Linked DNA regions of Struthio camelus. The protein of the gene in region 1 purifies or fractionates together with the protein of each later gene. This does not show direct contact. Links are inferred from orthologs where the notes say so. Each region holds a gene or a part of one and is shown in the gene's direction. Other genes may lie near its edges. The genes, in order: UBE2O, NAP1L4 and BUD23.

Evidence for each region.
Region 2: the proteins of UBE2O (region 1) and NAP1L4 purify together in Homo sapiens (affinity purification with mass spectrometry; 3 studies listed by BioGRID, with this or other methods). This does not show direct contact. The link is inferred for Struthio camelus from reciprocal best matches to the Homo sapiens genes UBE2O and NAP1L4.
Region 3: the proteins of UBE2O (region 1) and BUD23 purify together in Homo sapiens (affinity purification with mass spectrometry; 5 studies listed by BioGRID and IntAct, counting the BioPlex papers as one, with this or other methods). This does not show direct contact. The link is inferred for Struthio camelus from reciprocal best matches to the Homo sapiens genes UBE2O and BUD23.

Annotation. Positions count from the first base shown.
Region 1 is NC_090960.1:9,206,566-9,216,789, reverse strand, and holds the start of UBE2O ((E3-independent) E2 ubiquitin-conjugating enzyme), read left to right. Parts: upstream 1-4,806; coding exon 4,807-5,181; intron 5,182-10,224. UniProt on the Homo sapiens protein: E2/E3 hybrid ubiquitin-protein ligase that displays both E2 and E3 ligase activities and mediates monoubiquitination of target proteins. Negatively regulates TRAF6-mediated NF-kappa-B activation independently of its E2 activity.
Region 2 is NC_090946.1:19,201,337-19,211,560, reverse strand, and holds the start of NAP1L4 (nucleosome assembly protein 1-like 4), read left to right. Parts: upstream 1-5,039; 5' UTR 5,040-5,178; intron 5,179-5,333; exon of another isoform or gene 5,334-5,388; intron 5,389-5,416; exon of another isoform or gene 5,417-5,916; intron 5,917-9,248; 5' UTR 9,249-9,266; coding exon 9,267-9,280; intron 9,281-9,992; coding exon 9,993-10,054; intron 10,055-10,224. UniProt on the Homo sapiens protein: Acts as a histone chaperone in nucleosome assembly.
Region 3 is NC_090957.1:8,904,833-8,915,056, forward strand, and holds BUD23 (18S rRNA (guanine-N(7))-methyltransferase), read left to right. Parts: upstream 1-4,291; 5' UTR 4,292-4,341; coding exon 4,342-4,389; intron 4,390-4,459; coding exon 4,460-4,497; intron 4,498-4,638; coding exon 4,639-4,734; intron 4,735-4,979; coding exon 4,980-5,062; intron 5,063-5,157; coding exon 5,158-5,254; intron 5,255-6,101; coding exon 6,102-6,198; intron 6,199-6,561; coding exon 6,562-6,612; intron 6,613-7,215; coding exon 7,216-7,301; intron 7,302-7,520; coding exon 7,521-7,566; intron 7,567-8,065; coding exon 8,066-8,124; intron 8,125-8,632; exon of another isoform or gene 8,633-8,765; intron 8,766-9,219; coding exon 9,220-9,309; intron 9,310-9,467; coding exon 9,468-9,522; 3' UTR 9,523-9,856; downstream 9,857-10,224. Other genes in the region: DNAJC30 (dnaJ homolog subfamily C member 30, mitochondrial), read right to left, coding at 3,582-4,229.

The DNA of each region.
Region 1 (10,224 bases):
AGGTAATCTTGTGCAAACCGGTCACGGGGCACTGGGTGCTTCTGCCCCTATCCTCCTGAGGCCCCTCTCACAGGGCAAAGGTGTCTCCTGCCACTCAGCCTTGGTACCTTTCCAGGCTCGCCTGGACACTGAGGACTCCTCTATGCAGCCAGATGCTCTAGGGTTGCCAGCCAGCCTGGTCCCGATCCACAGCCGGAGGAGAAGGTTCCTTTCCTCCTTCTCGTTGAGCACATCCCCATGCCCAACCCAGCTGATCAGGCTGGGCATGGACAAATTGTCCTCACCCTTGGCTGGGCACAATGGAGTTCCTGTAGCAAGGAGCGTCCATCAGCCTGGTCTTGCTCTTCTGAAGACAATGAAGGTGGGACCACATATTTCAATGGGAAAAATGAGCTTTAAACTTAACTTGAAACTAAATGGGCAATGGCAACAGGATGGAGAGGGTGGGTTGTCCTGGTATTCTGCACCCCAGCTCTTTCAAGCATGGGATATGGGCTGTATAGAAACATGTGTGCCTCTGAGAAAGCAGCAAAAGAAGCTAAAGATATCTGAAAGGACTGGCCAAGCAGGAGTTTTCCTTCTGCACAGTCAAGATCTGTGCTGAGAGCACACTCCCTGCCTTTTAGGTGAGGAGTTCCACTGTACGTCCCAAACCAGCGGACAAGACCCTGTCTGCGGACGAAGGGGTTGCAATGTACAGGTAAACGCCTGTTCTCCTTGTATGCATAAAGATCTGTGTCGTCCTCTTTCTCCCAAAACGCACGGCAGCCAGCAGGCCTGCTCCCTCGGGCCCCTTTGCAGCCCTGCAGCAGAGGAGCTGCAGCCCACGAGATGGCACCAGAGCCTTTCCTCAGCTGAGGTGACCGGGCGCCTTGCTGCAGCCCTGGCACCCCCGGGCACCCTGAAGGTACCCCTGGGTGCCAGGCAGCCCTTCGGCCCGCAAAGCCCTCGCAAAGATGCCCCGTGAGAGATGCATCTCACTGCACCCAGCACCAGCCAGGTCCTGAGGAGGAAGGGCAGGGCTTGCTTTTCACAAACCTCTCTGTGTGGAAGCAGGTAAGCCAGGGATGTTACCCAGGCAGTTTATTCGCAAGGAAGATACTGTGCTGCAAAGAGAGTAAGTGACAGCAATTCCTAAAATAGTCCAACACCAGCAACTGTCCGTAAAGGAGGAGTCTGCTTGACATGTGTCACTTGCGCAAGTGCTGGGTGTTCAGACCACCTGCTGAGTCGAGTTGGTTCTCCAAAAAAAAATCACACACACAAAACTGCAGGATGCTTCTTGGTGTTGCCTTAGTATTTTGCAGAGTGGTCTGACTTGCTGGGGTCCCTCAGCGGAGATGTGGGATCCAGCCCCAGAGAGCTAGTACTGCCTAGCTTCTTGACGGGGAGATGCTCACTAGCCAAGGACTGTCACGCCTGAAGCATCTCAGTGGTGTTAGCAGCCCAGGCCAGGGGCTGCTGGCTCCCAAGGAAAAGACGAGCCTTTCTTCAGTGCCACTTCCGAACAAGAGCACATCAGAGCCCTGTTTGAGCTCAGAGTGCAAAAACACACCCAGCTCGACTCCTGTTAGCAGCCAGCTAGCCCTGCCTTGGCCCCATTAAACCCCCCACGCTGTGAGCCTGGCTGGTTGTATAAGGTGATTGCTTGTATGGCTATTTGTGGCTACCTGAAATCCCGCTGCTGCTCTGCAGCGTGTAATTGCTCTGAAGAGGGACAGTTTCCATCTACACACAAGTTTACGCCCATTAACTATATCTATATTTTATAAGCAGCTGTTACTGTGTACATTAAGGAGATGATAAGAAACATCACCACGCTGGATACACATTGTGCTTTAGGCCTTTCGTGGAATGATGAGAAGGACATAACGCCAATTCAAATGGAAGAAGAGGGCATCTTGTACCCCTCCAAAGGGCCTGATCCTGTTCCCACAGAGAAAGGCCACAATTGTCCCTGACTTCCCAGGGAGGGAGGCTGGCACCAGGCCCACAGCACCTAGCGTGGGGGTGTGCCAGGGCTGTCTATACAGGCCTTGGGAGATGTGCCGCACACCCTTCCCCAGCGCAGCTGTGACTGAGTGACACAGGAGGGTGAAATGGTGCTGGCGGCACAGGCGCGTTTGACAGTGCTGAGCACTGATTTTACACCCCTCGTCTCGTTCACCTCACAGTGGTCCCTGCCCTCTCTTGCTTGTGGATGGGGATCTGCATTCCCACAAGCCCATCCTGCCCATATCGACAGCTGTATAACCACGTTACGTCGAACAGATATTTAAACTGTCTTTCTCCATATTTTTCCACCTGGACAACATTCTCTTTTAGCTCTGTTCTATTCCTTATCCTTGGGGTCAAGGCCGAGAAATGCTCCCCTAGGGAACTACACCAGCAAAACACCCCTCTGTTTAAAATGATGCAGGCTGTTAAATCCTGATGTGGGGGTCATGCTGACCTAGGACCCAGAGGGAGGAAGACACTGCGAGCTGTTGCAACGCTTGCAGCTCCCTGCTCTGGAGACAGGTCAGGAATAGTTTGCCCTCTGCCATCAATGAGAGCATCCCAAAGGCGGCCCGAAAGCGTGCCCTGCACCCACCGCTGCAGGAGGACATCTCAGGAGCTGGGCAGAGCGGAAACGTGATCCTGCTCCTAGTACCTCTCCCTCGTGGGAGATGCCCGCTGCAGCGAGGGCTCCGTGCACAGCCAGGCTCCGGATTCGCACAGCTAGTGGGTGCTGTTTCCTGGCAGAGAAGGACTAGAAACCCAATGGAAAAATCCAGGAACTGCTTTAAAAATAAAAGCTGTGTTTCCGGTCCCTTTCCTGAAAGAAGAAACCCTGGAAGGAGAAACTACAGCCAGCTGGTGGATAGAGCCAGGCCAGCCCTGGGCTCGGGTTTGTGGGAGTGAAAGGAGGAGATTACTGCTATGCTGCTCTTGTTTTCTTTTGGTAATAAAATGAGTCAGGCTGAGGATTTCAAGCATTTTCCTGATATTCCAGCCAGCGCTGCACAGACGGGGAGATCTATGGAGTGAAGTGACAAGATATCTTTGAGTAAAGGACAGGCAAATAAGGCTATTTGGGATGCGCTTCGCCCTTCCCCTGCCCGGGTAGCGAGGCCCTCTCAAGAAATTATTTTTATTTCAAAAATCCCTGCCGATAAAAGGGAAAATATCCACAAGAGTCAACGAAGCCAAACATTGGGCTCCTTCGCACACCGTAACGAGGATTTCTAGGAGTCATAAAAAGCCAAGCCGTGCTTTCCTGCCAGCTGGAGAGCACCTCAGCACCCGGAGGAGCGCATGACAAGGGGCAGCGCCCCGAGCAGCCCAGCCAGGCCGGGCTCCTGCCTCTTCCCGCCCCGTCTCCGAGTTTGCCTTCAAATGCCTGTCATATATTTTTTAATTTTTTTATTTTTTCCCCTCACGCGGAAGGTGGCCAGACCTCGATGGTGGCTGCTGGTGCGGGACCTGGCAGGAGGCTGGCCCGTGCCTCGTGCGCCCCCACGCTCCCTTGGCCGCGCTAGATCCAGAAGCTCTCCCGGACTGGTAGCACCAGTCTAGGCTGGAAGGGAGGAGATGGCGGGTGGGATTCATATCACTCGGACCCTGAGGTGGCGTCCTGGGGGTGTCGCGCGGCCCCGGGCGCGGGGGCTACCGAAACGCGGGGCGGTTCCCGCTGTGACTCGGCCGCAGCCCCTAATTCCCTGGGAACAACCCCGCCGGGAGGCCGTGGTGGCGGCGGGAGCCGGCGGAGCACGGGGGCTTCGGGCCGGGAGGAGGAGACGGGCCCGGCTGCGCAGGGTCGCTGCCGCCCCGGGGGGCGCCGCGGCGGGAGGCTGCTCCCCCTTGGTGCCTTCAGCCGTCTCCCCGGAGTCCTCCTCTCTGCCCCCTGGGCTTCCTCCCCCGCCCCGGCTCCTCCTCCCCTCTCTCCCTCACCCCTTCTCCTGCCTCCATCCTCGGGCCCTCCCCATCCCTCTTCCCTCAATCCCTCTCTCTTCCCTCCTCCCTCTCTCCCTTTCCTCATCCCTGGCTCTCCTCTGCCCTCCTTCCTTCCTCCTCTCAGCCCTCTCTCCGCAGTCCTCTCCTTCCTCCCCTCCTTCCTCCACCCCTCTCCCCTCAGCCCACTCCTCCCTCCATCCCTCTCCCCTCACCCCTCCCTCCCCTCAGGCCCCTCTCCTCAGCCCTCTCCTCCCTCCATCCCTCCCTCTCACCCCTCCCTCCCCTCAGGCCCCTCTCCTCAGCCCTCTCCTCCCTCCATCCCTCCCTCCCCTCAGGCCCCTCTCCTCAGCCCTCTCCTCCCTCCATCCCTCCCTCTCACCCCTCCTTCCCCTCAGGCCCCTCTCCTCAGCCCTCTCCTCCCTCCATCCCTCCCTCTCACCCCTCCTTCCCCTCAGGCCCTTCTCCTCAGCCCTCCCCTCCCTCCATCCCTCTCCCCTCAGCCCTCCCTCCCCTCAGCCCCCTCCTCCCTCCATCCCTCTCCTCTCAGCCCTCCCTCCCCTCAGACCCCTCCTTCCTCCACCCCTCTCCCCTCAGCCCTCCCTCCCCTCAGCCCACTCCTCCCTCCACCCCTCTCCCCTCAGCCCTCCCTCCCCTCAGGCCCCTCCCCTCAGCCCTCCCTCTCCCCCCCCCGCGCAGGCCCGGCGCCGCGGTGGGCGGGGCCTGGCGGTGGGCGGGGCGACGCGGTCGGGCCCCGCCCCCGGGCCGTTACATGCGCGGGGCCCGCGCGCCGCCCGCCCCGCCCCCCGCCCTCCCCTCCCCTCCCCCAGCCTGCGCCGGCGGCCGCGCGCTCTCCCCGCTCTGCCCGGCGCCATGGCGGACCAGCCCGCTGAGGCGGCCCCGGCCCCCGCCGCCCCGGCCCCGGCTCCCGCCGCGCTGCCCCTGCCCGCGCCGGCCCCGCCGGGCGGCTCGCAGCGCCTCCTCTTCTCGCACGACCTGGTGTCGGGCCGCTACCGCGGCTCGGTGCGGTTCGGCCTGGTGCGCCTCATCCACGGCGAGGACTCCGACTCGGAGGAGGAGGAGGGCGGCCGCGGCACCGGCGGCGGCGCCGCCAGCTCGGGCGGCTCCGAGTCGGGCGGCCCCGGGGCCGGCGGCGCCGAGGAAGGCCGCGCCAGCCCGCTGCGGCGGGGCTACGTGCGGGTGCAGTGGTACCCGGAGGGCATCAAGCAGCACGTCAAGGAGACCAAGGTAACGGCTCGCCCCGGCCCCGGCCCCTGCTCGGGCGGGCGGCGGCGGCGGCGCGCCCTGTCCCCCCCCCCCCCCCCCGCCGCCTTTGCGGCCTCCCCGCCGGTTCTCGCCGGTTCGGCGCGCGGTCGCGGGGCCTTGTCCGTCCCACGCGGCCCGCGCCGGAGGCCTCGTGGGGCAGGGGCCTGCGCGGCTCTGCCCGGCCGCGGAGCCGGCCTGCGGCTCCTTCTCGTGGTTATCCCTCCGCTCTCGCCTGCCAGAAGTGCCGCCGCTGGCTGCGTGCTGCGTCTGAGCGCCGGAGGTGGACTGTGTCCTCCAGAGGCTGAAATCTGTTTCCCGTCTTTCGTCATGCTGGAGTGAATCCTCCTCGCCTCCTGCCTGGAGTGAACGCTGCTCCTGCGCTTCACCGGTGTCGAAACGTAGCCGTTTCTCCCAGGCACTGGATTTTAATGGCACTAGAGGAAGTGCAGTCGGGGATTTGAGCTAGTTCCTAGTAGAGGCAAGCTCTCCGACCCTCTCTTACTTGCTGGGAATGTGCTCCAGTGTCTCTTCGGTGGACAGCATCATGGTAGCCTGTTGTAGGGGAGCCAACAGCTAAACGGAGTAATCGTGACTAGCTGAAATCCCAGTGGTGGGCAACCGTGGTTTGGATTTGCCCTTGTTTACATGAACGTTTACCTCTCTTGATGAGGCCTAGGTAAATCTGTGACCTTTTAATTACATCCAGAGAGCCACAGGGTTCAGGGCACTTCTTAGGCCTGGGTTAGAACGTTGCCACTTCCCAAAGTTATTCTGGTGCCAGATTTTGCACAGAGTGACTGGCAGTACAGAGGAGACAAAAGAGAGAGAGGGGGCACTGTAATATAACACAAAGGGGCCTGCGAGGGATGGGCGTTGCACTGAACAAAACAGAAGGCCTGCGCTGTCCTTGCAGTAGAGCGAGTCAGAGCGCTGTTCTGGGGTGGCAACTAAAAGCAGGAGTCTCCTGGTATGCCATCTGCTCTGCTGTTTAGCATTCTGCTTGATTTTTGAAAGGAGGAAACGGAGAGAAAGGTGTGCTGTGCTCCTACCGAAATTGGTAGGATTGCCCACGCTACCAGAATGAGCTAAATTTAGGTGATAGTGTCACTAGGCATGTGACCAGTAAGGAGATGAGAAAAATGAAAGCAAGGTATCAAGAAAATATATTTCCACATTACGTATTTCTACATTAAGAAAAACCTTCTTTCCCTAGAGCCGCAATTCAATCACTGTAGCCTTCAAATAAAATCTTTGTGTGCTGTTACATCAACATATGTCCAAAGTTGAGTGTTTTCAGCCTCTAAATGAGGCCACTTCAACTTGAGTGATTAAACATGGACTTAGGAGTTGTTACTGGATTCCCAAATTCGGAAGTGTTAGCTCTGACTTTAGTCACTTGCTAACTGTACCCTGCGCAACATTAGAAAAAGCTAGACTGCAGAGGATCAGAAGTTAAAGGCAATTATGTAAATAAATGGTCCTCTTTCTTTCCTTTTCAAAGTCATATCCCTCTGATGTAGGCAGCTTTACCATTCAGGTAATAGCCCCTGGGGAAAAGTTCCCTAAGTGCCTAAGGAATTTAGGTGTACTCCCGTCATATTGATTTTTTTCCATTTAAAAAGCTGCCCGCTGACAAAATGGATAGGCATTGTGTACAATCTGCGCTGCAGTTTAGGGTTACTAAAAACAAATCTGACGCCACTGGAAAGGCGCTGCAGAACTTCTCATTTCATGGTTATAGCTGGGTTTTTTAGCTTTCCTCTAACCCAGCCCTTTCACGTTATACTAATGGGTGAACCAGCCAGGTAAGCTGACATGCTTGTTGTTGTCCGAGCTGGGAGGGGTACGAACCATAAGGACCACGTGGTTGTCCTGGGCCTAAAGTTTGTTAATTTTTAGAATGTTGTTGCCAACCATAATTATTTTGGCCAGGCCTCTAACTCTCCAGCATCTTTAGCTGTGGAATTCTATTTGATGTCTTTATTATGTTAACCTCACTGTCTTGGTCACAGTCAGCCCCTGGATTCAAGAGAGTACCTATTCCGTTTCTTTGAAGGTACCTTTCATTTCCCTGCGATCTTAATTCTGTAATGGTCAGAGGATAAAGGTAGCCCTGGGGTCAGGGCTCTTGCTAGCCTCATCTTGCACAATTGTATACCTGTTCTGTACGGTAATTTTTCTTTCCCATGTGAAACGCTTGTGTGCCTGTCTCTCTCATGTGGATCCTTCTTTGTCAAGCGCTTAAAGATCTATGAACCCTGGCAGGTTTATTGGTAAGAGCATGTGTTGTAACTGAGGAAGGGGAGAAACAAAGTTGTTGCAAATTTTGAGGACAGTGAAAGAGTACCTTCAGCTTCCAGTGCAAAGGTTAAATGCAGTTGTTTATAACCAGAAAAACTGGATTATAACCCTAGAGATTTCTTGTGTTTTGCTTGAACTTTGTGGGTTAAAACTTTTTTTTTTCCCTGCCAGGTACTATATAGGCTAATCCTTTTTACTGTTTTTCCTAGATGTTCTATGCTTACCTTTGTTCTTTCCTGTTGGAAATGGTAGGCAAACTGCCGCTTAAACCCCAGCACACAATTACTGATGTTAATAAGTAATAGAAACTTTCTCTTGAAATAGGACAAGCGTTTGGTACAAAGGCCCACGAACTCTTCCAACTGAATAAGTAGTTTATCCGAGCACATTCCTGCCTTTGATTCCCATGTTGATAGTCATTAGCACTATCATGAGAATGATGTGAATGAAAAGAGCCAGGATTTCTTATCCTCTGGCTCTGTGTGCTCCTTTCCTGCTGTCCATGACTGCTTTCCTTTTTCAAAACACTGGAAAGTCATTGTTGCTAAATAATGCAAAACCCAAGCAGTTCTGGGAGAAGCCTTTCCTATCCAAATACGTTTGCCATCTATGTCCTGTCTAACTCCCATCCTGTCAGGCAACCGAATCGGAAGAGCAGTCCCTCTGGTTAAAGCCATCTCTCTTGTTTTCATATTACTGTTTGTATGCTAGATGTAATTTTCACTCAAAAGTTGTGAGAATATTGATAATTGGTGTGAACTTGTGATGCTTTTCTAACAAAGTAGCAGTAATATTTGAGACCCAACTGAGATTTAATTTCCAAATTTCTCAGCTGTAAGTTAATACTCTTACTGCATACTTGTGCTGCCTTTGGGAAATTAAAAAATATGCTTGACCGTGTTAAATATGAGTAAGGCTTAGAGAGTGCCTTGAAATGCTGCTAGTCTTCCTCTCTCTGGCTCATCAGAAAGCCTCAGAGTTCTCGACCAACTTGAATGCTCACAAAGCCTGTGTAAGGCAGATATGCTTGTTCTGCGTATGAGGAAAACAAAAGTGCAGGTGTTATATTTCAGCACCTTATCTAAAGGCCTGCAACAGGCCAGACTGCTGAATTCCCCGTCTTGTGCTCTTTTGTATGCCTCTGGGAGTGAAATACTTATGCTAGTATCTTGGTGTAATGCTGTTCTGTATCAGGAGTGGAGTTGATTGATTTACATGTAGGGAACAAGTAGGGACGCAGGATTGCTGTAAGAGTCAAGGCCCAAACATGCTGGACGTTTTTAGCAATCTTTTGCTTTGTTTTTGCGCAGTTCAGAATACAGCTTGGTTTGGATGGCTCTCTACTCCATTCAGGTTTGCCCTGGAAACAGATTCAAACTATCAGGGCACTTCAGACATAATTCAGTAGCTGATCAGTTTATTAGCTGGAAATTGTCTGATGTTATCTCTCCAAGTCTCTCTATGAATTCAACTCTGCTTCATCCCACACAACCCTTCTGTTCCTTCCCACTGTTCATTGCTATAATTTCTTAACCTCAAGTATTGAGTCATGGATGTAACTTTCTGAAGACATTATTTCCACATAATTTCAAGACTCTTGTGTATATTGTATTTTTTCTTCTGAGCTCTATCATTAATATTTTGACCTAAACTTCTAAGTTGTGATTTTTTTTCTGTGCTTATATTATGGTAGAAGGAAATACTTCCTTTTCAGTGATGATTGGCATTTTCCCTTCTGTGTCCCTTTGCAGCCACTGTCAACCCTCACCTCTGGGATCCCAACTAGGAACTGTAACTGATACAGGTGGTCTGATACTGTGAAGTGCTGGTTATCTCTGTTAGGTTTTTTTCTTCTTCTTTTTATTTTTTTAAAAGTTTTTCTCCTCTAGTTAGGACACTAATGTGGGCTGTACAGATGTTAATCGCAGCTACAGAATGTGGTACCTCTTTGTGACTAAGGGATGGAAACACTGAAAGCCTTACAAAAATCTTTCATCTTCAAACTGCACCAATGTGTTCTCTGCCTAGAAATGCAGTGGCGTTGAGTGCTTAAATTCCAGCAGGTAAAGATGGATGGTTCTAGCTTGCACAAGTATGAGTCCTTTTCAGGAGCCATGAGTACATGCTGATCACAGTTCAGAACTGTAGTGAAACACGCAAATTCAATGCCCGTAAACTATTAATACTGTTTTTTTTTTTATTGCGTGAGGAAGCTATATCTAACCCTCTTCTTGCTTCTGACATTTCAGTTAGTCTCTCAGGGGTTTTTTTTGAAACCATTTGACTTTCATAGCTGTTAAGGACAGGAGGAGAGAAAAGGCTTACTGGAATTTTTGCAGTTCTACGCAAGACAGAATCACTTTAAAGGGTAACCATTCAATCCTTTGGCTAGTCACTGCAAGGCTACTTTCCCTTAACTTGATTCCCCTTTTTGTTTTGCAGGCTAAGGACTTTGATTTGTTTGACTCTTGCATTATAGGCTTGGGGATCATCGCTAGTGTTTTTATTGCAAAAATGGCATCCTGTGCAACATGCAGTATGGAAGTCTCCTGAGTGCTAAGTAGTATACAGTATTATTGTATAGAGAGTTATTTTGAGTGTATAGTACAGACTGAATTGATCATTCAAGAGCACTAGTGGACGCTTGAGCTAGGTAATTAACTATAATTATTCAAAATATAGTCAGGAATGTCGTGTTTAAAATGGATAGAATCTCTCACCAAG
Region 2 (10,224 bases), on another chromosome or scaffold:
CCTTGATGCATAGACAAACAGGAAATGACTTCATTCTCTCCAAACAAGATGAGACTTTTGCCCAAGTATGGAGTTCCTTTTTCCAAAAGCAGCAAGTGAATCAGAAAACAATGACCTTGGCGAAGAATCAGAAAAACAGATTTTGTCTCGTGGAGTTTGTATCAAAACACAAGCTCCAAAACTACTTCAGATCAGTTATTTTGATTCTCTAGGCAGCCACAGTTTAGCAAAAAATAATAGCATGTGCAGTGTCCCAGCAAAGGAAAGCTTGTTAGCAAACAAAGGAATGCTGCAAGCAGGTTTAGATATACACTGTTTAAGCAGACTTTCTGGAAGTAGGTGGGTCAACTGATCTATGCAGTCATTGAAATGCACAACACAATACCTCTTCCCTAGCAATCCATCAAGGTGTCACTTAAATGAATTCCACTGCACTGGCTTAGTGAGAGTGACTTGGCAGCCAGAAAAACAGAATGCAACAGCAATGGTCTGCATTCAATGTCTTCGTCGCCTGTCTCAGTAAAGAAAAGGGAAAGGACAGGCTCTAGTGTATTCTAAAACTTGTGATTAGATAGATAATGTGTATATGTACATATACACACACTGAAGGAATCAAATGTGGAATATGAATTTCTAAGCATTAAGAAAATAATCCCAATAGCAATGAAGTGTTGGATTTTTAAAAATATTTTCTGGAACATACGTGCACAGCTTGTTTTGATCTGTAGAAAATGAAGCTTTCTATTTTCCCACAGGGTTTTCTGGTTATCTCTGAGATTCTTTTCATGATTACTGTAATTTTTCTCAGTAACAATCAAGATAGCCACTGCGTTTTTGGGGGCCAATAAACCGTCTTTTTTTTAAGCTGCCATCTTTTGGGACGTGCAAGTATTACTGTCTCTTCCTGGGTGAATTCTGTCATTCAGCTGGGCATCAACAAGTGATTTTGAGCGTTCAGCTCAAAGCTTTGTTAAATAAATCTGATCTCTGGATGGGGAAGAAGCTTCCATGTTTTATGATCATGCAGGTATAAACTTACATGTCACAACGCTGAGACCTCTTCAGACTCATAGGTCACTTCTAAAACAGTATCTTTCTTTAACCTCTAAAACCACTCGATGTTTGTGACAAGAGAGCATATGACAGCAAACAGTTCAAATTAAGGGGAAATTGCAAAGCTGGTAGCTGGTATCTCAAATAATCTCTCCTCTCGCCCTCCCAAAAACTACTGCCTGCTTTGTTCAAATCTTAAATGTATTTTACAATTACTGAATTCTTTTGGGGAGGCAAGGGAGGGAGCGATACTAACGTCTGACTAGAGCACTGCAGCCTCAGCATTCTTTGAAGTTGCTTTCAAGTTATTTTTAACGTTACTTAAGTTAACTGCAAGTCGGAACGATTATGGCTTTTCCACGATTCATTTTGTAAGTGTGTTTTTTTAAAGTTTCCCATAGCCTCACATTAAAAGCATGCGGTACCTTTCTTCCCAATACATATTTAGTAATACTTACTTAGCAGTATCTCCATGTTGTGCTTATGCACCTACACTGGAATAAGCGTAAGGTAACACAGTGCTTTATTTGACACCTGTTTCCCATATAACAAACTAACACAGCTGTTTATGTTCTCTCTCTCTCTCTCTCTCTGAAGTCCAAAAATCCAAATCTCTCTTTGGGCTTCCTTTGTTGATGATGGAAGTCTATTAAAAAATCAAAAGCATTAATGCTCAAGGACATCACTGTTTTGGAGGTAAAGATTTATTTTATGGTGGCACCAGTGACCTGCGGATTATAGACTGCTGCATCCTCATCAGCCTAAACCTTTCAGCAGGATACAAATGTACAATTTGTTGCTGCAATAACCAAATTTTGCTGATGTATTTAATATTGCTCAAACAGCAGTCAGGCACCAATAGCACAAAACTGCCTATTGTCAAGATAATTTGAAACATTATCCCACAAGGATCTCTCTAGTCCTCCTCAAAAACTGCTTCTTACCAGCATAGTGTATAGGAACAAAGTAATCTCAAATATGTATGCGCTAACACTAGGCTACACCTCTGAACGCTGAAGATTGTGCCAATCTGGGTGTTGTCAGGAGGAAGTACTCGGCTAAGTTGGTAAGCCTGTCAGGGCTTCCTTTGCTTGTAACCTCGAGGGGACAAACACTGGATAGAAGCTGACATGAGAAGAAAGACTACCATCAAAGAATTTATCCACAGGCAGCAAGGCAAGGTAAAATAGTGTGGTGTTTCTTGGTTTTAACTGCATCCTTTCTGTGAAGTGCTGAAGGCCAAACTTGGAAGCAGCAAATACAGCTTCTGTGTTTTGCTCAGCATGCCTTTCAGCCTTTTGAGAGCTGTGAATACTGCTGCACTAATAAGAACAAGTTCCTCCATGCAGCTTCCAAACACAGTACTCCCATCACTCAGTTTGTTCAGATACTGGTAGAAAAATGTGTGAATTATCTGATCCGATCTTATTACCACCAGTCTTCATTCTTTACAAAGACTTTAAAGTCCCTAATTACATTGAAGATATTCTTTTTGATCTCTTTTTCCTAATGTTTATATTCGCTTTCCACCTTTCTGGGAACCCACAGATGCATTTTAAATGCGCCGATCAGCAAATCTCGGCCACATACAATATACCTGCAGCTTCTTTATCTATATTTTAAACTACGCTTTAACACTTTAAGGTGGTGGAGCTTGTTGGATCCACTTGAGCTCCCTCCTTTAAGATTACACAATTTCTGCTGCACAAATATGGAAAGGAACTTTTGCTCCTCTTGGTGATTTCGCAGGACATTTTCTATGCAGGCCACTGTAGCACTTGCATATTTCTCATCTCTCCTGACATAGGACAAATTAATTAAGAAGTGTATTAGCTATTTAGTACCAAGCCTCCACTTAGCAATGATCAAAGCACTTCTTGTCCCTGAAGAGTCATAGACAAACCAAATCTTATCTCTCAAAATGGGTTGTGAATGTCTGGCATGTCATTCAGTGAAACGGGTTTGCATTAATGCCCACCCAAGGGCAGAACACACAGCGCTCTCTCTCAGTGCCAGTCACAGATCTCAGCCTAAGCTTTCTCTCTAAAAACAGGTGTGTCAAGTGTATAGCAGCTCTGCCATCATCCCTTCTGTTTCTGTTTTGGTTCTCCAAGCTCTCCTGTCTGCTAGCCTGGGCGTTTAAATCAAGCCAGGGTGATTCAGCAAAAATCTTTTTGCAGCTCTGGCTCTCTGCAGGGCAGGAGCACCTGACAGCAAGATGACTCCACAGATTGTGCCTCGGCCACAGTCCTAAAGTCTGCCATCATGCTGCAAGAGGTTAGACACCAGTCAGCAAAAATCCCTCCTTGATCATGGAGGATTTATGCCTTTGGATTTAAAGTAATTTAAATGTATTTTACTTCAACATGAACGAAGAGAGAAAATACTTCCAGCACTCTGGCCTGTTTCAAGGCTTTCATAACTGGTCCAGAAGAAAGCAAATCTCTTTCTACAAGACCATCTGAGATATAATTTAATTCAGGGTTTGCAGCATTTATGAGAATAACTACATTAGCAAGAGAGGCACTAGCGCAGAGGCAGAAACTGCCCATCCCGCCACAGAGGCTGCAGTATTGCAACTAATAATCTGAACAGGGCTGCAATGTGATCCTGCAATAGCAGGAACGAGCAGCTACATCATGTACTCAAGCAAAGCTTGCTAAATCTTCATATGGCACAGTAGCTGACTCCAAACTTCTTTTGGGGAGCAAGGGAGAAATAGCTTTTAACAAATAGAGGTTAACAAACAAACCCAAAAACCCTGACAGAATACTTGACAGCTATGTATGAATCAGCAGCAAGAACAAAAATTTCAAGTATGAATAATTTCAGAAAAATCCTCCTTTCAGAGTTCATTATGGTCTCTTATGGACAAGTGACAATTAAGCGTAACTTAGTGATCATGAATGGAGTTGTCCCAAAATAAAGGTAATGAAAGCAAGAAGAGGCCGTTAACTTTTTGAAGTTCGGAGAAAGATTGGTTTGGATGGACAAGGAGAGAAGGCGGGAGCAAACCTTAGACCTGCCGCTGAGCCTGTCCTTGAGCTGGCCAAATCTGCTTGCTTGTGCTACTGACTCCCCAAAATTCCTGCAATACTTTAGCTGTTTGAGTAATTACTTTTTTTCTTTTATTATTGGTACCTGCTTTTAACTGATGATGCACTCATTAGTCCTGCCATTAAGTTCCTGCAATAACTGAATTAATCTAGTGTTAATGTAGTGATTGGTTGTTAATTGTTAAACATCAGTCCCATAATTTCAATGTTTCATCAGTGAAATGACTGTGACGATTAACCCTGGAAATTAATTACTGAAATCCAAGACTACGTTAGTAGACCTGTAGGAAATCTTTTTTTTTTTTTTGTTTTGAATAAGGAATCTAGTGATTCAGTAAAGGGTTAAATGCTTTTTCCTATTGAGTGAGGGGATTATTCATATGAACTCCAAGTGGCTCCAAACGCTAAAACCGCCTTGTTCTCAAGAGGACATTACAGGGCATCTGTTGCTCACGCATCCCCATACAAACACCGGCCTTTTGTTGTTGGTGGGTTTTTTTTCCCTCTCCTCTCTTCCTCAGGAGAGGGAATTACACCCGTACCTAGCCTTAGAAACAAAGCCCGAAAGCTTAAACATCTTTAAACGGGTGCTCCACCTGAAGCACCAGACAGGGCCTGTTCTTCCTCACAGGAAGCGCCGCGCCCGTTACCCAACGCCCACCCGCCGCCATTTTGCCCCGCCCCTGCCTCTGTCCCTTTAAGGACACGAGCCGCCCTGTCCCCCCTCTCCCCCCCCCCCGCGCGTCACGCGCTCTCTCCGCGCGCCGCCAGCTCCGCGCGCACCTTTCCCCAAGCGCGCCCCCCCCACCCCCGGTGCCCGGCGCTGCCGCGTTCGCCCTCTGATTGGCTGAGCGCCGCGCCGTCGGATAGTCAACATGGCCCGCGTGCGGCGCGGCGGCCACCGCTGCGCCAGGGCCAATCAGCGGCGCCTTTACTGAGGGAGGCGCCCGCGCCTCGGCCAATGGGAGGGGGCTTTCTTGGCGGCGGCGCAGCCCGAGTGCGCCTGAGAGGAGCCTGGCGGCTGGCGCTGCTGCCTCTGCGGGCGTGAGGGGACGCGGGGCGCGGGCAGGTGAGGCGCGGCGGGGCCGCGGCGCCGCCCTCTCGGCCCCCGGGCGGGCGGAGGTCGGCGGGACCCGCGGAGGAGTCCGCGCTGGCCGCCGCGACCGCAGCGCGGGGCCGGGGCGCGCGTGCGGCGGCCGTTGGGGCCTGCTCGGGGTGGGGCTCGGCCGGCGGAGGGGCCGCCTGGAGGCGCCTGGCGGAGAGGGGCGGGCCCGGCCCAGTCAGGCACCATTTTAAGGCTGGCTTGGGGAGTTTGGGCCGGGGGAAGGGGATGTCCTGCCCGCTGTGAGGCTGGCAGCGGGAGAGGGAGCGTGTCCGGCCGCATGTATGGCTGCCCTCGCCCTCCCCGGGGAGCCTGGCAGCGCGCCCTCCCTTCCCCCGCCCTCCCGAGGGAAGTGGGGGAGGAAGAGGGTGGGAGGGCTGTTGTCTGTGGTGAACTCTCTTTTCTCCGTCTCTCTCACCGCGCAGTGCTCGGATTGAGTCAAACCCTTAGCTGCCTCGAGTCAGGCGCGATCCTTTCATTTGACCTCATCGATGATCTTGCGTTTCCTCAGCCTGCTACGGGGTTTCTGGGGTTCAGTTTTTCATTTCCATGTCCCACCTCCCTCTCCGAAAGTGAGCGGTTTTTTTTTTTTTTTCCAAGTTTTCGCTGCTACTACGATCGTTTTCCACACATGATAGGAGTGTATATGGGATCTGCCAGAGTCGGTTCCTGTAAAATCTGCTTATGAGGCCCCAATATTGAAAGGTACAGGAGCAAGTATGCAAGTTATAGATGAAGGTGGAATCAGTAGGCAAGTTTATGTAAAGTCATCTCTAACTGAAATAGTGTTTCCTCAAGAAAGTTTCGAAGACAAGTTTAAGTACTGCTAATGTTCAGGGCTTGTGGAACAGGTTAATAAGTTTCTTTTGGCTTTTTTTTTCTTCTTAATTATGGCTTCTAATTTCCCATGCAAAAAGTATAAGACTGTTTGTGGCTTCCCACAGAGTTGCATCCCAACAGCTCTAAAACGGAAGTCATAACTTTCTTCTCTCGTTTGTTGTAGTTACGGAAAGCAGTAACAGTTATGGCTAGAAGTCTTTCTGTGCCTTTAGAAGCCCGTTATTGACTTGCTTTGTTATCTGGCTCTGTTTTGAAGATCTGCACAGCAAGAAATAAGCTTTTTTTTTTTTTTTTTTTTTTAGCAGAGAGAGCTTATTTTCCATATTTTAATCTATTTGTGAATGTCTCTTGCTTTTAAATGTACAGGCCTTTTTAAAGCTGTATCTTTCAGGCTTTTACATGTCCTTTTAATGAAGTTTTGGTATCTTGGAGTACTGGGAGCGTGCATCATTCTGAGTTTCCATTTTTCTGCTCTTTTAGGTGACTAGTGCTATATGACGTTTGTGCCAGATAAATTTCAATTGCAGCAGCCGGCTTTGTGGGACAAGTGGTTGGTGTGCTCTCCTCCTCCCACAGAGCTTCACATTTGTAATACTTATTTGAAAACAGTGAACTGTCCAGAGGAAATGAGATACAAATTTGGGTTTCTTACTGATGGTGGCAGCGATAATGATAATACCTTACACTATCCTTCTGAATTTTTGGTTATTCTTTGAATGTCTTTATTGCCTACAAACTCAGAAAGTTAACTAAGGCAATAAATATGAAGGGTTGATGCTCTGCTTCTGTACAGTTTCAAGCAGATGTGCATTTAAATTTGTCTCCCTGAAGTCACCTTGCTCTTCCCTCCCTTCCCTTGCCCTGGCTTTTATAGAACAGTTTTAATAGTAAGTCTGTAGCAGCTGAGTTATTGGAAGGTACCTCTGTAAAGCTGCTGGGGTTCACAGGGTGTGTTTGTCTTTTAAAACTTTATTTATTTATTTCAGGGAAGTTTCTTATCACTTCTATTCATGTAATTCTCTTCACTTTCAGTTACTGGGGGAACAACTTTGAGGAAACAAACAAGACTTGAAGCATGTATTTGCACCAGGGAATGGTGTCTTACCAGTTTTTCATTCCCAATCCTTAGGTGAATGGCCTGTAACAGAACATGGCAATTTCATGTCTGTTCCAGTAGAATTTAATTCAGCTGCCATTTAAAAGTTATTCAAGTTATGGCAACTTTATTCCATGTTTTCTTAACATGAGGGAGAATCTTGTCTTCCTCCACAGGGTTGAGAAATAGTTACCTGCAGGAAATGTAGTACAAATCTTCTGTTCATTTATTTGTACGTGAAGTGGAATTTTTCCATTAGCTCTGTTTCTGGGTCTGATTTGGAAGGCATGAGTCTTCCAGGCTAATTTCTCAGTAATGCGTGTCTACGTTTTTTAGTTGCTTGCTATTGCTTCCTCTAATAGTGACTAGGATCATATAACTTGTTGGCTGAACTCAGGTATTAGGTCAATTTACCATCTCTTACCTTTTTAATCGTAACTTCTTTTTTTTTTTTTTCTGCCTTTGGTCAGCTATGGAAGGAAAAACTGATGTGTATGCTTTTTATTCCTTCAACTGTAAGATAGTAAAGTTCTTTCCTTTTACTTTGGAAGGTGATTGCTTGCATTGTCACTTTCTCTTGTTATGCTTAAAGCAAGAATTACTGTTTGCAAGTAAATATGCCTGGGTTGCTGAAACACCTGGTCTACAATAAGACCCTTATTTTTTCCCGGACTTCATCTGTAGCATGGAGATGATGATAGGGTGGACTCATAGGCTTTTTGATGGGTGTCAGGCAGCTTCCCCCCTTGTAGAATAATCTAAAATATACTCCCAGTACTGCTGTAAATGAGCAAAACTTTTCAGCCCTGTATAAGTGGTTATAAAAATGATAATTTTTTTTTTCTAGCCTGGAACAAGAATCAGTGTTGTGCAGCTGGCAGAGTGCATGGATTCTCTGACCCCCTGTTTTGACTGCCACTCAAGATGTCATTAGGGCTTACATTCCTCTGAGGTGGCTGTCTGTTGGAAGCTGAGCTGAAGATCAGCCTGCTTTGCCTTTATAGACTCTTAAGAAGTCAGACCTGTTTACTCGTATGAATGATGGAAGGTTGTCTTTATTCTTAAGCATGACTTGCAGAGTGACATCTGCTTTCTTGAGAGCGTGGTAAAGGTGCATAATATCGCCTATACTTCTGTACAGTTTGTAGTGATTACTTGGATTTACCATGAACTGTGTCTAGAATGCACAGAAGTACCATATTACTAGAATAGATTTATGAGCTTGTATATTTCACCACTGATAACAGCTAAAGAAATAACAGCAAAGTAAATTGGGCAATCTGACTCTGTTTTCTCAGGAGAGCTAATTTAAATCTTGGGGTGGGGTAGGATAGCTAGATTAAACTTGGTTCCAACCATTGCTATTACTAAGGCTTTAACTTTCCTGTTTCCTGTTTGTTTTCTCACTCCCAGTAAATTCAAGCCAAATTTTAATGTAGAGAGCTCTTTCTTCTTAGCTGCTGATAAAAACGCTCCTCTTGGTAAAGACAGTGCAGAAACAGCTACTCACAAAAATAGACCCAATTAGACAGCAGGTGAGGCATGTTTTTTCTGCCTAGGTGACATGAGAAAAGTCTTTCTGAAGTTGTTGTAATGCACTTTCATCATTTCCGTATCAGGCATAGTAATATGCACAGATTAAAAATTCAGCGTTTGCTGTGATGGTGTGTAGGAGTAAGGGAATAGAATATTTTTTTCTTTTATTTTTCTTTCTTTCTTTTTTTTTTTTTTTTTGGAACACAGATGCAGTCTAGGAAACTCTGTGAGACTTGTTTCAGTGTAGGATGAAGACTTGTTTTATGCACTGGTAGGAACAGATTATAGGCTGGATTCCTTAACGATAAAATGAGTTTTAAAAGGGTTAGATGAAAGCTCCTAGCAGGCTGTTTTAAAAACTACCAGCAGGTTTCCAGCTGGATGGGATATATATGGTAACTATTCACTTTATTGCAAGAGATCATGCACAATGACTTTTTTTAGCAAAACCAGCAGCTCTTAATTTATCTTAAACTTCTAAACAGTAACCTTTTATTTTCATCTTCTGCTGAGGTAAACAGATTACTGTTAAGGTCTTTTTTAAAAACTATATTTCAACTTGCAGGTGGATACAGGCATACAGATGGCAGATAACAGGTATGTTGGACTATATTTTCTTGAAATTAAATTTATGTAGCTATACCCCAGCCAGTGGGGTATATTTACTAATAGGCTAAGGAAGTAATAACAAGCGTGCCAAAGGCATAGTTTTGTTTTCTAGTTTGTAAGCGTTTTTAGAATAAATAGCAAGTTTAAAAAAAAAAATACTATTATCTGTTTAACTTGCTGTTTGTGGTACTGCAGTAGTCCCTTTCAAGGGACTGCACAGGAGTAAGTTGAATAACTTAGTCTGGTAACTAGTAATATCCATTTGCGTATGTGATAATTGCTTCTCCTTTTGTATCTGAGTTAAGATTCATTTTAGCAATTCCTAACCTATGTTCTGTGACGTGTGAACTGGCTGGAAATATGGGAATACTTACTGACTGCTGACTCTTTTGGGGTCTGTCTTCCTCCAGCAGAGGAAATACAATGGAAGATATGTGGGGGGGGAGAGAGGGAGCATCTCTTCCTAGAGTAAAGTGGATGTTTTTACTGTTAATCAAAACAATTTGGTATAGAAATTGTAGTCAAAGAACTCTGATCTTACTTGTTGATCTTGACACAAAAAATCATGTCTTTTAGTGGTATGCATCTTTATAAATCTTGCCCTGTAATAAACACTGAAAATTCAGAATGTTTCTATGCTTAAATATTACACTTTTACGAAGTGATTTCTTTCAGTATGTTTAATTTCTAATTCTTTTAGTAAAGCAGAAGATACTGCTTCAGATTCTGTGGAGGCTGCTAAAAATGCAAGTGACAAAAAAGGTAAGGAATAAATAGCAGTAGGTAACAGTGCAAGGGTGGGGTAACCCCATTGCCTTGTATATTCAAGCTCCTTTACCTACAATTCCAAAACCTCGACACCCAGAACTACATGTGTGTTTGTTATTAAAAGCAAAGCAATGTTTTTTAGGCTAATCGTTCACTTTCTGTTA
Region 3 (10,224 bases), on another chromosome or scaffold:
TGGCTCAGCATCCCCAAGGATCTTTCGCTGTTGTCCTTAGGAGAGTGTGAGGAAGAGTGAACTCCCTATGGCTCTCGATGATCTGCCCTGGCTTTCTCCCTGTCTGAAGACAGCTCTGTAACCCTCCCCCGTTGCTCAGCATCCCACCAACATGTGCAGTGAATAGTGAATTCTTGTCAACAGTACTATGATCACTGCCACAGGAGAGGTGGAACATGGGGTTTAAATACGGAGGAGGACACTGTGCAGCAAGTTTTACACATCCTATCATTCCTGCTCTTGCCGTAATTTCCTCTCCTTTTTCCCTTTGAGGTTTAGCTCCTGGTGGGCTTGTAAAGCTCACACAGTCCCCTGCCATTATACCACTGCTGTCATGGTTAGACTCAGTTGGATTTCCTCTAGCGCTTGTGCCATAGTCACCCCATAAGGACTGCTCTCACCTGGCTAAAGGAAAACAGAAAGAAATCTAGTCGCTTTTGGCACCTCTCCATCAGGGAAAGAGAGTAACTATTAAACCAGACGACAGTATAGACATAAGAAAACAAAAGGGTAGAAACTTTGTATGCTGGGGAGAAATTAAGTCTAGGAATTTGGACTAGCTCCAGCCACTACCCGTCTGAGCTTCTGAAATCCTTCCTGGAAAAGCTAAGTACACAGGCCTGATCAGCATGGAAGTACACCGTAACACCCTGAGTGACAGACTGCATGCCTCAAAGGATCCCTCCATGCCCTGCATGCTGCGCCTACCTCTTCTCCTACCAAATTCCACAAGAAAACTAAACCTTGTCTGCAGCATTTGCTCGCTCCTTCCCAGAGAAGGCGGTGAGCACAGTGGGTGCTTCAGAACTGCAAAGCAACCCAGGTATGTTAGAAGAGGCACAGTGCAGGTCTGCAGCTGGCAGGAATGAAGTATGCAAAGGATTGGGGAGGCTCATGTTTCCCACTGACTGCAAGCAGCATGTCCATCTTCCCCAATAGGCCCTTGGAACAGACAGGAATCCCCCATCTTCCTCATCCTGCTGCAGTCACCATATGAAAATGCTAGCCTGTCGCCCACCCTCCAGTTTCCAGGAATTATAAAGAAATGTACCACCCAAGCCCACCAGAAGAAAGAGATGTGTCATTTCATCACCAGTTTATGAGATGGGTAACTTTAATGTTCAAGATCTGTCAGGGAGACCTGAGGAAGAACCAGCAATACTGCATTGTCCAAATCATCCATTCTAAGGCACGCAGATTAGTTCAGTCTCGGTATTTGACCCCCCACATTTCAGACACAAGCATCAGACACAGAGCAGGAGAGTCAGCTGGCTTACTGGAGCAGCTCATCTCCTTTCTCAGAGTTAAGGAGCAGAGCAATGCAGGAAGCACAGCAGCTAGCCATGTTTCCTCCTGCTCCCGTTCAAGAGGGGAACACCACAGCATCCTGCCACTGCAGGACACCAGACCCTCTCTTTGCCTGGCAGCAGACTTGCGGCTGGGTTTGGGAGCCTGGTGGCTCCCTAGAAAGCAACTAGATTTCTTGCTGGAGTCCTGGTGGGCTGCAGTTACAGCCTACACCTTCTGGTCCTCATCACTATATACAGATTAAAGAAAGATCAGGGGACATACATCACCCCGTCCTCCCCACCCCCCCAGCCTTTGGCAGGGCTGCCTTAAAAATACACAGGCCAGACAGGTGTTCCCATGTAATGCATACCACTTCCCATGGACTTCCCTAGCTCTTCCAGCCTGGAAGAGAACGTTACCTGCCAAACCCTGTCTGGGGAGCAGCCTCTGATCTTTCAAGTGACTTCGCTTACAGCATGAAAGAGCACCACTGAGTGACACAGAGCCGCAATTCCAGAGTTTTTCCCCCCCCCCCCCATGCCCAACACACTAAAATGCCAGACTCCAAGTGCTCTTCACAAGCTGACATTTCAAGACTAGAATCTATGTTACCTCATACAGGGGTAAACGGACAACCAGAGGGGATCCTGGAAAGCTCTCTTTCCGCCCCGGACTAATTTTGCTCTGGAGCCTGTATTTGAAAATGGAGCAATTCTTTCCAGAAGCAGCTCTCAAGAACCCAGCTGAAAACTCTCCTATACCAGCTATATACCAGCACATACTCTATACCAGTAGGTACTACATGCTCTGCTATGCTACCGCCTTAAGCTTGTGGCAATATCACAGAACTCACCAGCTGTAGTACACAAGGCATTTGTTTTTAACATGCCTGTGCTGGGAGAAAACACAACCCAGGATCACTGCAGTGAGAGACGGCAGCTTGACTTCTGTGCAGCCATCTGCCAGACAGGCCCAGAAAATCCAGTGCAAATAAATGCATGTGAAGTCTTTGGCACACTAAGACTTGCAGTTCTATGTTACAGCAAGCTTTCACTCACTCCATGTAATACAAACATAACATAGGTGAAGCCTTCACCCAAGGAGAGACAGAGGCTCTAAGAACACAATCTTTAGTTCCTAAAGCACTTCACTGCTTAAACAGGCAAATACTCTAAGTGCAAAGGATGCTTAAACACATGTAAAACACAAATAATGTCATTCTGTACCCAGAAATGTACCACTCCAAGCCATTAAGGCCTGTATAAGATGGTCTTGTGCAAAGTTCCTGTCAAGCCCCAGACAGGACAGGCTATTCTGAACTGCATCTCCAAGGCAGCAGGCAGCATCTCCAAGGAGAAGCAGGTGTTGTCACATGCTGACCAGGACATGGGCAGCCACTAGCCCAAGTTTCACTCTTCCATGAATGACAGCTGAACATGAGACCTCCACACTCACTAGGGAGTGAAGCTCCGAAGTGGGACAGATAAGAGCAATGACGCAGTCTGGAGACCAACACTCCTGAAACTCCCCATAGATGTGGTAACAAGTATGAAAGCATGGAGGCAGCAGGACTCAGTGAGAGATTTCTGGAAAACCACAGGGAGCCATTACTCTGCATGAGCGAGAGCATCACCTATGAAAACACACAGCATACAAACGCTGTTGGCAACCATTTAATCTCCGCTGCAGCTCAGGAGTGTAGGTGCATGGTTCCTGCCAGGGTCAGACAGCAGCACCAGAGGAGGGAATATAGTCACAGTCTGTGAAGCAGAGTCCATGAACCACGTTTGTGTACCTTGCACTGTTTCTGCAGGTCTTGCCAGCAGAAGGGGCACATCACAGCTCATAGAGTAGAACCCATGTGTGGTACCTGCTGGTCACACACGTTGTCTGAAGGTCACTGGTGGAATGGACACATCACAGCCACTCGCTGCCCGCTGATCACACCTGGTGTCTGAAGGTCACACTGGCAGAGGGGACACATCACAGCCTGTAGAGCAGAGCCCATGTACAGTGCCTGCTGGCCACGCACTGTGTCCATCACACTGTGGAGAGGAAACGTCACAGCCTGCAGAGCAGAGACTACACATGGCTGCCAGTCACGCACCCCACCCGCCAATCACGTTGGCAGAGGGGACAGCTCACAGTTGGCGTACCTTGCCCAGCAGTTGCACTCCATGCCTGCCAGGGCGGTGCAGCCGGCTGGCAGCCTGGCAGCTCCCCAGCACTCTCTGCGGGGGCCGGCCCCGCCACTACTTGAAACCATAGAGCAGGGCGAACCCCAGGAAGAAGATGAGCCCAACAGAGAGGTCAGGCAGGAGGTGGAGGCGGCCGCGGGCTGCGGCCTCCTCGCGGCGGAGGCGCAGCTGCTCACGGCGGGCCCGCAGCGCCTGCTCCCGCTCCAGCTGCGCCCCGTAGTGCGCGCGGTAGAAGGCGTCAAAGTCGAAGGGCGGCGGCACGCGGCCTCGGCGGCCGGCGGCCGTGCTGGAGGCGCGCGGCGGCGGTGCCGGGGCGGGCGGCGGCGGACGGCCCGAGGGCTTGGCGGCCCCCTGCAGGTCCTCGCGGCTGAGGACGCCGCGGTCGTACTTGCGGCGCAGCGCAGCGCTGCCCAGCACCAGGTAGGCCTCGCTGATGGCGGTGAAGCGCTGGGCCGCCTCGGCGCTGCCCGCGTTGCGGTCCGGGTGGTACCGGAACGACTGCTCGTAATAGGCCGCCTTGATCTGCGCCTGCGTGGCCGTAGCCGGGACACCCAACAGCTCGTAGAGGTCGCGGCGTGGCCGCGGGGCGCCGTCGCGCCCCTGCCCGCCGTGGAACTGCGCGACGGCGCGGCCGGGCCGCGGGGCCCCCGCCGCAGCGGGCAGGAGGCGCCGCAGACGGCAGCCCAGCGCCGCCGGCACCATGGCGGCCCCCGCGCCGCCGGCAATCGCCGCGGGGGGCGGGAGGGGAGGAGCGGTGCGGCGTGACGCGCGCGGCGCGACGCCAGGCGCCGGGCGGTGACGTCAGGGAGGCAGCATGGCGGGCAGCGGGCGGCGGCCCGAGCACCGCGGGCCGCCCGAGCTGGTGAGGCGGCGCGGGCGCGGGCGCGGGCGCGGGCGCACTTCAGCCTCGCTGACTCTCTCATCTCCTGCAGTTCTACGACGAGGCTGAGGCCCGAAAGTACACGCAGAAGTAAGGCGCCTCCGGGACGCGCGGGGCCTGGCGGTTCCGCGGCTGTCTGGCCCCGGCCGGGGCCTTGTGCCGTGAGCCCGGGGCTCGTCTGGCCTCGTAACCCCCCCCAGTGACACCCCTCCTCCCCGCCGCGCCTTGCAGCTCCCGCGTGGTGGAGATCCAGTCGCAGATGTCAGAGCGGGCTGTGGAGCTGCTGGGGCTGCCCGAGGACCGGCCGTGCCTCCTGCTGGACGTGGGGTGAGAGGGGCGACCCTGCCGCCGCGGGGTCACCGGCTACACGGTCGGGCACACGGGGGCTTGGCCCGTGGGCACCGTAGCAGGGGATGGTGCCTGGATGCGAGAGTCATCCTGGTCCTGTGACCCTGGTTTCTCTCCACTGTGGTCTGGGAAGGAGGGGCAGGTTACTGTGACCATGTAGGTGATGGGGATTGCCCTTGGTTGGGGCTGGTTGTCTCTGTGTTGTTACCCCTTTCTCCCTTTAGCTGTGGCTCTGGGCTGAGTGGTGATTACATCTCTGAAGAGGGGCACTACTGGATTGGCATGGACATCAGCTCTGCTATGCTGGGTAGGTAGACCCTCTGCCCTGCAGCCTTCTGTGCCACCAGAGGTGTTCTGCAAAGGTGTGAGCTCGTACCCTGAGTTGTCCTTTGTTCTGTACAGACGTAGCCCTGGAGAGGGAGGTGGAAGGAGACCTTCTCCTTGCAGATGTGGGCCATGGCATTCCCTTCAGGCCAGGCATATTTGATGGCTGCATCAGGTGAGTTTGTGCACATAACTGAGCTCTTTTGGTACTTTGTGTAGCTGTGCTACCTATTCTGCACAGTATACAAAAACTACGTGTCATGCATACCGGAGTACGCGTCTTTTTTATCAGTTGCTCTTCTTGTTCCATGTGACTTGGCTCCAGCTCTCTGGAACAAGCTGCTGAGATTCTGGATTGTAGAAGCAGCTTCCAGCAGCTGTTCCCCGCTGATGCTTGTCTTTTCTTGTGGTGATGGGCTAGGAAAGCTTACTGAGATAAATAAAATAGGGGATTGTGTCTGGAGGTGTGAGACCTGCTGCTAGGAGAAAAATATAAAGTATATTTGTACCATGCTCATCTATGAGGTCAGTCAGTGGACGAAAGTTTTGATGGTTCGTTTTGGGATGAGGGGCTAGGTGGAGGAAAAAGAAACACTTTTCTGTTTAGAGAATACCCCATAAAAATGATGGGATGGAGTAGAGACCTTCTGTTACCTAACTGAATGCTCTGTTTGGGACTGCTCACTGGCAAAATGTGCATGAGCTGTTTGTGTGAATCAGGGTCACAGCCAAGCACTTCAGTTATTTGAGCATCTGACCTAAAAGAGATGCTTGACGTTTCTGTTGGGCTTGAATCGCTACTGTGTTTTTTTGGGTTTTGGCATGACTCAGTGAGTCTCCAGAGAGATTTATGTAGCACCTTTACTGCAAAATAGAAGGCAAACTATATGAAGAAAATGAAATGAACTGGGGCTGGCCAGGCCCAGCAAATGCTCGATGCTGAAAAAAGTTTGAAGGGAGGGGACAGGCTTTGCTAAAGAATTGATGGCTCAGTGTCCTGGAGGTCTCATGTTTTGTCTTAGTATTTCTGCAGTGCAATGGCTTTGTAATGCTGATAAGAAGTCACACAGTCCTCCAAAACGCCTTTATCAGTTCTTTTCAACTCTTTATACTGCCTTGGTAAGTGCTGTGCTGTCTCAGCCAGGCATCTAGCTACTTTTACATCCTCACTAGTGCATTTTAGCAAGACATTTTGCAAGTCCAAGTTACTGAAATCTAGGACCAACAGGAGTATCTGCTTCCCATCTCCTTTCCTGCCTGCATGGTGTCCCTCATTTCCCTATTCCCTGCTCCCTGCATCAGCACTGTTAGCCCTGTGCCTTGCTGTGCTAGCAAGAAGCTGGCTCTGCAGGCTGAGCAGCTCACCTGGGACTTTGGGTCCAGCAGGTTTTGGGTGAGGTGGATGCTTATATCTGGGCTGGGAATTGGATTCCTTGGGGGGAAGCCTGTACTGAGATAGGTTTGTGACTTTCTTTCCTGTAGGCCCGAGGATCCCGAGCTGTCCTGCAGCTGTACCCTGAGAACTCAGAACAGGTACAGGATGTCAGTCATTGGGGAGGAGGGATGGGCAGAGCCAGGGAGAGGAGCTATTTGCTGTTTGAGGCTCAGAATTTGTCATTTTTCCTGAAGTGTAGTGTATTTCTCGTTCCTTCTTGCCAACAGTAAAGCTCTGCAGGGAGCCAAAAAAAGACCCATAAGCAGAATGCCCCACACAATTCCCATTGCTTCACAGACTGCCTTGTGCTAAGCCTTAAAATCAAATGAGTTGGCAGGACATGATCTGAATTTGCTGTGCTGAACTTTCCCTTGTGTGACTGGGGTTGAAAGCTAGGCTCTAGTTATATATGCTGCACCATAACTCCCCAGGGCTGGATAGTCCAGCCCAGCGTTGCCCTCCTAGAGATTCTGCTGTTTCAGTTAGACCAAGCTAGACTAAGGAGCGGGGAGAGACAAAATAAATGCTGCAGACTGTGTCTGAGTCATACTGGAGAGCTAGGGGTTTGATGTAGGGGTTGTTACAGGAGCGGGACAACCCCTTCTTAGGGTGCGCTGTTAGTTGGCGCTGAGCCCGGAGGTGTCTTGTGCATCACCGCTGGATGACGGCTCAATAACTTCTGTACATGCTTCCTTTTCTAGCTGGAGCTCATCACAGCCCAAGCCATGAGGGCTGGCTTTACTGGGGGAATGGTGGTAGATTACCCCAACAGTGCCAAAGCTAAGAAGTGAGTCCTGTTCTGTTTTGTATGGGGTTTTGGGGGTGTGAGCCCTAGGTCCAGCATTGATTTTTTCCAAGCTGTTTTTCTCTCTTCCATGTCCCTGTCCTGGGCAGAGGTGACAGCTTAGATCTGACTCTGTTACATGTGATCTAGTTTTGTTTGGAGACTCGGAATCACATGCTGAATCCTGGCTTCATGCTGCTCTTCTCATTCTTGCTCTTTCAGGTTCTTCCTCTGTCTCTTTGTTGGGGCATCCAGCACGTTACCAAAGGTGAGGTGCTCCGCCAGGCAGTGGAGATGCATCCCCTCTCCCCTAAGGATCCTGAGCACTGGAACAGGTTGCCCAGAGAGGTTGTGCAGTCTCCTTCCCTGGAGATATTCAAAACCCACCTGGACACGATCCTGGGCAATGTGCTCTCAATGACCCTGCTTGAGCAGGAGGGTTGGACTAGATGATCTCCAGAGGTCCCTTCCAACCTTGGCCATTTTGTGATTCTGTGATTCCTGGCTGCTGGGCGATATGGAAGAGCTGTGGGTAAAGGGAATTCACAGAGTGGGAGCCAGACACATGCAAACATGACTTTATTCATGTGCTTGCTGTTGGTCTCACCAGCCCTTGCCCTCCCCAAGGTCCAGTTTCCTTGTGACAATTGCTGGAAGATCAGTTTGCTCCCGTCCCAGTCTGTCCCCTGCGTTCTCTTCTATTTAGATGGCAGTGACCATTAGCTCTGTCTGCTCCAGATGAGAAACTTGTTGGTTTTGCTTTTCAGGGCCTTGGTACTGAGTGTGCTGATGAAGAGATACACCAGGCAAAGTTCACAAATGAAAGGTATTGTGTGGGGCGGAGTGGTATATCCTCTCCCCAAGGAAGAAGTGTAGGGGCTGCATAGGGGCTGGGTTTTGCTGAGTGAGGACGAGGGTACTGCCACTGTGAAATGGCTGAAGGGAAGGGACTAGGGGCCCTAGGAGGATCCTTAGCAGCCTGGAGGGGCAGTGCTTTATGACATTGAAGGGCCCCAGACACGAGCCTGTCTAGTTTGACTGGAGAGCTCAGCCTTGGCATTGTGTGACTGAATCATGGTGTTCCTATTGGAACTGCAGCTAAGCGTTCAGTCTGAGGTGTGCTTTCTGTCCAGCACTCAGCTTGCCAGCTCAGTGCTGGAGCGTAGGCATGTGGTGGTGGGATGAGGAGTGTCTACAGTGGCCAACCATTGCTTTTTTGTCAAGGAAGCAGGCTCGTGTGCCTGAAGCCCAGCGTTCCCTTCCTTCCACTGTCAAATTCTTCACTGTCAGACTGTTGTGAGCTGTGGCCTGGGGTTTTTTCTCTTGCTGGCCAGGTCTCTTCCCATGACAGTGGTGCAGGGAAGCACTCCCCTTGCAGCCAGTGGGAGAGACGGAACAAAAGCTAGAGGAAAGTCGTCGTGGCTGCCAGGAGTTGGTGGCTGCCATGTTTTCCTGCCTCTTACAGTGCTCTGCTCTGCTCTACCCCCTCTGGTCTGGGGGGTACCTGGGCTTGGAGGGGAAGGGCAGAACTGGCAACTTGTTCAGAAGCTAGATGCTTCATCTGCTTGTTCAGACTAGAGCGGACAAGGGAAAGGCAGCTGCGCTAAGCCCATGTTCCCCAGAGATCCCAGAGCCTAGCATGCTGCAGCCTGTGGAGGACAGATGCCCTTTGCTCAGAGCTGGTGCTAGCAGCAGCTTAGTACCTGCACTGCTGCCATTTGCCTGTGTATCTGGAGCTGGGCTGTTTGTTGGCCACCTGTTCCAGCTGCTTCTTCCCATCCTCTGGAGGAATGGGTTGTGAGTTGTCACTATTCCTACAGAGCAGAGGACAAGATGAGTTGTGAATGGGAATCCTCCAGGCTGCAAGAGTGTGTTTCTCCCACCTCAGTTCCTGCTCAGCTCCTGTTTGTTGTCTCTGTAGGACACGGTTCAGAAACGTCAAGGGCAAGTCTGTAAAGAAAAGCCGGGACTGGATCCTTGAGAAGAAGGAGCGCAGACGACGGCAGGGCAAGTAAGTTCAGCCAGGTCCTGCCTCAGCTGAAGCTCTGGCTGGCTGTGCTGGTCTGGCCCACTGTCACCCATTCAAACTCCTCTGCTATGAGCCAGCTTTCCTTCCCCTCCAAGAATGAGCTGTGGATTGCACTCAGTGCTCTGCACTTTTCTTCACAGGGAAGTGCGAGCAGACACGAAATATACAGGTCGAAAGCGCCGCCCTCACTTCTGAATTGTTACGGACACTGCTGGAACAGAAGATGGAGTGTTGGCCCCCACAGTGAGCCTCCTGTGGATGGCGCAGATTAGCACCCCTGGACGCAAGACCGGCCAGGACAGGTTCTTGCGGCCCTTGTGGGGTGAAGGCTGGCAGGTGCTGCCTATCCTTCAATTGCTAAACTTCTAGGCCTTTTTTCCCAGGGAAGGCAGAGTGATGGACAGTGCTTTGGCCACTTTGTCCCAGGCCATTGCTTACCTTCTTGAGATGGCAGCAAGCTGTCTGGAGCTCCAGGTGAGCTAGGACATTGTACCCAGCCTCCTCACTAAACAGTCAATGCGTTACGGTTGTTGCTACTCTCGTGTGTCCTGGCCTCAGTACAGGGAGTGGGAGATGAAGGTGGAAAAACAGCACCTGCTTTACTACCAGCTTCTCCCCTGCCAGCAGGCAGGTAGCTAGATCTTATGAAGGTTTGCGTCTCTTGAGGGCCAGGCATACCCTCTTCCAAGTTGAAGGGGGGAAATGTTACCTGAACTTTCCTGGGATTGTTCCTCCTACTTGCACCTCCGTTCAGGCACACCATGGGTGCCTTCGTGCCCTAACTGGTGCTGAGGTTCTCCACACCCCATCCCTGATCCCCATCCCCTCCTCCGTTCAGCTGAAACATGAGATGTACCAGCCAGAGCTTTACAGTTACAAATGTTTATTCTACATAAA